Linked DNA regions of Neurospora crassa OR74A. The protein of the gene in region 1 purifies or fractionates together with the protein of each later gene. This does not show direct contact. Links are inferred from orthologs where the notes say so. Each region holds a gene or a part of one and is shown on either strand. Other genes may lie near its edges.

The links.
Region 2: the proteins of gul-1 (region 1) and NCU06389 purify together in Saccharomyces cerevisiae (affinity purification with mass spectrometry; 3 studies listed by BioGRID). This does not show direct contact. The link is inferred for Neurospora crassa OR74A from reciprocal best matches to the Saccharomyces cerevisiae genes SSD1 and PSY2.

What each region holds. Positions count from the first base shown.
Region 1 is NC_026505.1:3,211,974-3,216,287, reverse strand, and holds the start of gul-1 (cell wall biogenesis protein phosphatase Ssd1), read left to right. Parts: upstream 1-1,405; 5' UTR 1,406-2,031; coding exon 2,032-2,155; intron 2,156-2,379; coding exon 2,380-4,314. UniProt on the Saccharomyces cerevisiae protein: Can suppress the lethality due to deletion of SIT4, and partially the defects due to BCY1 disruption. Is implicated in the control of the cell cycle G1 phase.
Region 2 is NC_026504.1:2,673,255-2,675,767, reverse strand, and holds the end of NCU06389 (DUF625 domain-containing protein), read left to right. Parts: coding exon 1-96; intron 97-171; coding exon 172-1,424; 3' UTR 1,425-1,768; downstream 1,769-2,513. Other genes in the region: NCU06390 (hypothetical protein), read right to left, coding at 2,322-2,513.

The DNA.
Region 1 (4,314 bases):
AAGTCGCCATTGTATGTACTTACGAAGCTAAGCTAAGGCAACGTGCTATTGACATCTCAAACGAACTTTAATGCAGGATGTGTGATGAATCAAGGATTCATCTTTTCATCGCAAGTTACTGCATAGGTATTACTTTGATCCATTGGTGCTGTGGACAGCAAATATCGTCAAGAAGGTCAGCTTGTGGTCTTTGTATATGGCAGATAGCAACTCCATTAGTTCCCGCAGGTATCCGTGTCTCTCTTCTCTTCAACCTCTTTTACGAATCGTACCGTCATCCAAAGACACAGACCCCCAAAGCCTGCCGGAGCTTCTGACACGGGAGACACGGCTGTCGTCTTGCAGTATGCGGTGTACTCGCGTCGATCCAGGGTTTAGGGTATCACCATCACCATTGACGTCTTCCCTGTTACGCCGGCAAGGCCAGTCCATATTCCCCAGGTGATGCCGGGCACATCATGATATGGGTTGGCGATCCTCTTTCCGACCACCGTTGAGTTTCCCCGAGAGAAACGTTCGAGCACGTATCTTCGAGTACATCTCGAGTTTGTCGTCCCTGTCCCTGTGCAGACACATTCGTGACAGGGAAGCATCGCCCAGCATACGCCATGTTTGAGATATCCTGAATCTAAACTAAATGAGGTATGGGGTAAAGACGATTAGCGGGAGTGTCCACTTCTGCCATTTGTGATTTTCCCGAGTCTGCTGAGGAACCGTTTCCCCACTGGCATCGTTGATTGGTGTAGGTAGTGTAGCTTCCCCCGGATGCTCCTGTCGCGGTCCTCGACTCTTCGAAGCTCTTGGCTATTGAACAGAAACTCCAGAAGTAGGTATGCAGTGGATGTCATGAGTGCAGATTTCCTTTTGAACAAAGGCCAGGAAGAAAAGACGGTTTTATAAAAGGGGCTCAAAGGTTACTTCATTCAGTAGTAGTTGGGTTGTAAGTGGAAGGGAAGAGGAGCACGGTGTGTCGCGCACATGGGGTATCCGGTGCACCACCCTCACACCCTGCGTGCTTGCACCTATCCTGGCGCTACTAACGGTAGCCCACCACTTCAGCCAACTGCCCAGCACCGCCGCTGATAGGTGCAACTGAAACCGTAAGAGATGCCTGCCGTGAACCCGGACCTTCCATGCTCCGCCGCCGCACCGTGTACACCTGCAGCATGCGCCTCCAAGGAGGGACGGACCTCACTCACCTCAGCAGGACGGACTGCCAGGCGGGCGGGCACCATCCTGTCCCGTCGTTTCCCTCTCACGCATCAGTTCGTCACTAGCATGTAGTCTAGGTGAGGTAGGTACCTCTAGGTAGATACTCTAGGTACAACCTAGCCAGCCCAGGATGCCCGCCGAAGGATGGACCTTTCGGGTTCCTCTCGCTGACTGCCGCTGCGGCGCTGAAAGTGCTCTGCTCCTCCTCCTCCTCCTCCTCTCAGGTCCAAGGCCCAGTCCTCCTGACTTCCTATAGCACCGAACCTCTTTCTCCCGTCCTCCGACTCCTCCTCCTCCTGCACTCTCCCTTTCCCCTTCCCTCCTCACGAACCTCAATCCGCATCGGCTTCAGGCTTCCCTCTAGCTTCAACGTCAACTAGCAAAGCCGGACACCTCCCTCCCTTCTCTCTACACTCCCTCGTAGCAACTTTTCAATCTCTCATTATAACCTCTTTGGACTTGATTTCTTTCATCCAATCCGCTTTAACTGCGAAACAAAACTGTCCTTTGGGGCGACGTCTCCGCACCGCAACCAAACATACCGCAACTCCCATCGCATCTGATGCATCGCAACGGCAATCCGGCCACACAAAAAAGATAAACCCAGCTCAATAACCTTCCCCCTCGTCTCTGTTCGGTCGACCACGCCTCGATTCGATTCGACTCGACTCGACTCGACTCGTCTCGTGCTCTACTTTACTACTTCTTCACACGCTTTAGGTCCAACGCCGACTTCGCCTTGCATTCGCACTCGACGTGCACGTTTTCTGCCTGGATCACCCGAGTCATCTGCACCTGTCCGTCCCAACAACCTGCATCATGGATCAGCAACAGCAGCCTCAAGGAGGCGTCTCTGGCCCCGCCGGCCGACGGCTCCATATCGCCCATCGAAGAAGCCCGTCGGAGCTGACCCCGTTGATGAGTATGTTTTCAAACACGAACAGTATGTTTTGAGTTTTGCTATTGTCATCGCCATTGCCATCGTGTACTATCGCGGCGCCCCTCTACCGCTCTTGCACTGGTCCGTTCTTGTTCGTGGCGAAAAGCTTCAAAAGCCAATGATCGTACCCCTGACCCCGTCGCGTTCCCGTCTTGTGTCCTGACTGTAACCCCTCATCCCCCTCTTCAATGCGCTGGCGTACTGACTGGATCTTTTTTTCGGTGCAGTGGAACAGCTTGCCATCCAGCAGCAGATCGAACTCCTTCAGCAGCAGCAACAGCAGATTACAGCTCAATATGCCAACCTCGGCATGCTTCCGGCCACGCAACCCCTGGGCCCTGGCGGATTCACCAACTTCCAGCCCATTGCCGGTTTGGCGCCTCAGGCGGGCTTCCAGTTCCCGGTCCAGCTGCAGCAGCAGCCGCCCCTAGCTCCTCCTACACAACCGCTTTCACATCGCCGTAATCAGTCGGCCATTCCAAACATGGGCATGGGGGGCCCGCCGCCTGCTCCCTCTGCCGGCGCCTCTGGTTCGACGTTCGGCAACTTCCAAGATCCCACCCAGGGTCACGCCCGAGAGAACAGCACCGGCGGTCGTGGTGGTCGGGGTGGATCCGGCGGCGGTCATCAGAGAAGACATTCCTTGGCCTTGGCTGATGCCAAGAAGGCCGCCGAGATCGCCCAACAGAAGCGCACGACGTCTACCTTCCAGTTCCCTGCTGCTCCTGCCCCTGGCTCCTCCGAGAAGTCTGAGGATGATGCCAAGACCACCCCGAGCACCACTCCTGCTCCGGCGGAGGGCCAGATAGCTCAGGGATCGTCGTTCCGTGGCGGTCGTGGCGGCCATGGCAGGAGCCAGAGTATGGCTGTTGGTGCCAATGGCCGTGGTGGCCGCGGAGGCCATTTCTCTACCGACTCCGTGGGCCAAGGCAGCGACTTTTCCCGCCGCGCTCCTGGTAGCGGCCATGCCCGCACTGGTTCCCGCAACTTCGACGGCAACTGGAGGAACCAGAACCAGAACCAGAACCAGAACCAGGCTCAGGACCAGACCGCTGCCCTTCCTCAGAGCCAGGGCTTCCAGCCCGGTCACCGCAGCCGCGGCTCGGTGAGCCAGTCCATCTCTTCGATTGGATCCTTCCAGTATCCTGGACAGCCTCAGCTGGTTCAGTTCCCCGGTCAGATGATGATGCCCCAGGTTTTCCCTGGCCAACAACTCAATCCGATGCAGCTCAACCAGCTTCAGGCTCTTCAGCTTGCTCAGATGAATGGTCAGCCACTTACCGGTCTTGCCGCCAGCCAGCACGCTCCTCAAATGGCTGCTCCTGGTCAGCAAAGCCAGCAACAGCAGCGCAAGACGCTTTTCACTCCTTACCTTCCCCAAGCTACTCTTCCTGCCCTCTTGGGTAACGGCCAGCTTGTTTCTGGTATTCTTCGCGTGAACAAGAAGAACAGAAGCGATGCGTACGTCTCGACGCAGGATGGCCTGCTTCCCGCCGATATCTTCATCTGCGGCAGCAAGGATCGCAACCGTGCTCTCGAAGGTGATCTCGTTGCGGTCGAGCTGTTGGATGTTGGTGAAGTGTGGGCGCAGAAGCGCGAGAAGGAAGAAAAGAAGAAGCGCAAGGATATTACCGACACTCGTTCTGGCTCCATTAGTGGAGGCCAAAATACTGGTGACGACAATGGCAACGCTGAGGGGGGACTCCGCCGCCGTGGCAGCCTCAGACAGCGTCCTACCCAAAAGAAGAACGACGACGTGGAAGTTGAAGGTCAAAGTCTTCTTTTGGTTGAGGAAGAGGAGATCAATGATGAGCAGCAGCCTCTCTTTGCTGGTCACATTGTTGCTGTTATTGAGCGTGTTCCCGGCCAAATGTTTTCTGGTACCCTTGGTCTGCTCCGCCCGAGCAGTCAGGCTACGAAGGAGAAGCAGGAAGCTGAACGCGCTGCGAGAGACGGTGGCAATGGCCGCCAACAAGACTCGCGCTCCCACGAGAAGCCCAAGATTGTTTGGTTCAAGCCCACGGACAAGCGTGTTCCTCTGATTGCCATTCCTACCGAGCAAGCACCCAAGGACTTCGTGGAGAAGCACCAGGACTATGCGGACCAGATCTTCGTGGCTTGTATCAAGCGCTGGCCCATCACTTCTCTGCATCCGTTTGGTA
Region 2 (2,513 bases), on another chromosome or scaffold:
AACACCAACACAGGGCCAAGTACTTCCTCATCACCCACAGTCTGGCACAGCGCTTCGTTCAGTTGCTTTCATGCAAGCAAAAGCATCTGCAGCTCGGTAGGCACAGCAACTTGGGAACAATGGTTAAATTGTCGAGCAGAGGAGGCTAACCTGCATGTTAACTGCTTTTAGTGGCCATTCGATTTATCAAGCAACTGGTATTGATGAACGACGAATTTTACATGAAGCACATTGCAGAGAAGCAAATTCTCGGCCCTATTCTCGATGTGCTATTAAGAGCGATTACCCGCGACAACCTTCTTTGTTCAGCTTGCCTCGATCTTTTCGTCCTCATTAATAAGGAGAATGTTAAGGACCTAATTAAGCACCTCGTGGAAAATTACCGGGAAAAGATTATGGCGCTGTCGCACATGGATACCTTCCGCGAAATGGTCAGTCGGTACGACCAGACGGAAGGCTACACAACCAATCCCGAGTATTTCATGGATGAAGACGAAGATGAGGGACCAACTGCGGCCGAGAGCGAAAGGAGACCGACGAGGCCGACCTCCGGTCTGATGGAGGAACAACTCACCGTCGACCAGGCTCAAGAGGAATACTGGAACGGCGTATCGGACGAAGAGGATGAAGGACCTCAAAATGACTCCCATCGTACCAACGGCACCGCTACTACTCTTCCTCTGCTGAAGCCCTTAGTCGAATACGGCTCGGATGATGAAGACGGCGTGGCGGGTGATGAGGCAACTGCCCCAGCAAAGAAGGACGATGAAGACAACAGCGCAAAGTCGAACGGCGAACCACCAGTAACACCAACAAAAGGTGGGCCGGCCACAGCCGCCGCTGCCGCCGTTGTCGCCACCCCGCCAGAGAGGATCTCTGAGAAGCGGCGCCGTGAAGAAGACGAGGATGACGATGCGTTCGACAAGTTACTGCAGTCCAAGCGCCGAGGGAGCAATGCCAGTGCCGCGAGCGCCGGTGCAGACATTCGCAAGAAGATGGGTATCTCTGAGGATGATGGACCTGCGGCCGAGGGTGCCACCACCGAGGACAATGGTACTTCAATGGCAGATCGCACATCTCCTAACCCTGCTTCCCCTCTAGCTGCTGCCACCGCCGTCACTACGAGTCTAAGCACACCAAAGAAAATTGCTTTCAATATCTCTTCCAAAGTCAAAAGCATGCTTGGTGGTGGTGGTGGTGGGAAACCTTCGGAGCCGGAGGCAGATCCCAATACAACAACGACTAGCGCGAATGATAAAGCGCAAGAAACTTCAATAACAACGGGTGCTACAACTGCATCAGGAAAGGAAAATGTGAGGATAGGAGAAAGAGAGGAGAAGGAGGAGGGGAAGGAGACTTCAAAGTCAGTGGTACAAGAAGTGGAAGGGGAAGAAGAAGAAGATCCAAACGCAATGAAAGACTAGAGGCTGCCTTGGGTTGGGTCAAGGAAGGCAACGCGAAAGGGGGGAATGGGAAGGAAGGCAAGGAAGGGGAAAGGCGGAAAGTGAAAGCCAAAACTTTAGGGAGGCAAAATAAAGGCGAAAACACACATATATTCTTCATAGATATGGATTGGCACCGTACCGATTTGATTCACCACCTCACAAACAGATGAATATAGCCTGGTATATTTACAGTTCAACAATTTGTTCACGTCTTGAACCCGGTATAGTCGCATCGACAAGGCCGGGGTTCATGAGGCCCCCCCTCCTACTAACAGCATAGTAGTGTACATCAGATAACATTGTTCCCTCCTCTAAATTATTTTCATTCATTCATCCATATCAATTGGTCTGCATGGGTGCCCGCCAACCCATGCGATACGATGCAATACGATACGATACATTAGAGCTTTGAATCGGTCAACCCGGCTTTTTCATATCAGATTCCATAGGTATAGTAGTATAACCAGCTACTCTGACCAGGCCATTTGCTGTCCATCCCATTCATGCCCATTCCCGTGATTATAAGTTGCGAGAGGTATAAGACGTTCACATGACCAACATCAACTAGCTTTTGAAGTATATGAAAAAAAAAAAAAAAAAAAAAAAAAAAAAAAAATTAGAAAGTAAAAAAACACGGTAATATGAGAGGAGTAAGACATCTAAGATATTGTCAAGGGTCTGGCCTTTTCCTTTTGGTTTCATCTCTTTGCGTCCTTGAATACTGAAGAAAGAGAAGTGATATTCACACCCATAACCATAATCTTTTGAATGAAAACTTTGTGAAAATGTGTGGAAACGACAAAGGGGGGAAAGTCAGAGGAAGGAACAAAACAGCCGACCCCTTCATGCCGCATGTAGTACATGCTTCATAAGAGTTTATTGCCACAAAAACCTCGAATTTCTCCTCATCTCGTTCCCATCCGGTGCCGCTTGAGTCGTCGTACTGGCCGTTGCCGTTGCCGTTGCTGCCGACGCAGCGGTCCAAGGCTCTGGAGGTAGGTCGTGCCTCGCGGGTGGTGCCGGGGTGGGAGCAGGAGCATATTCCGATTCAGGGGTAGCTCCTCGGCG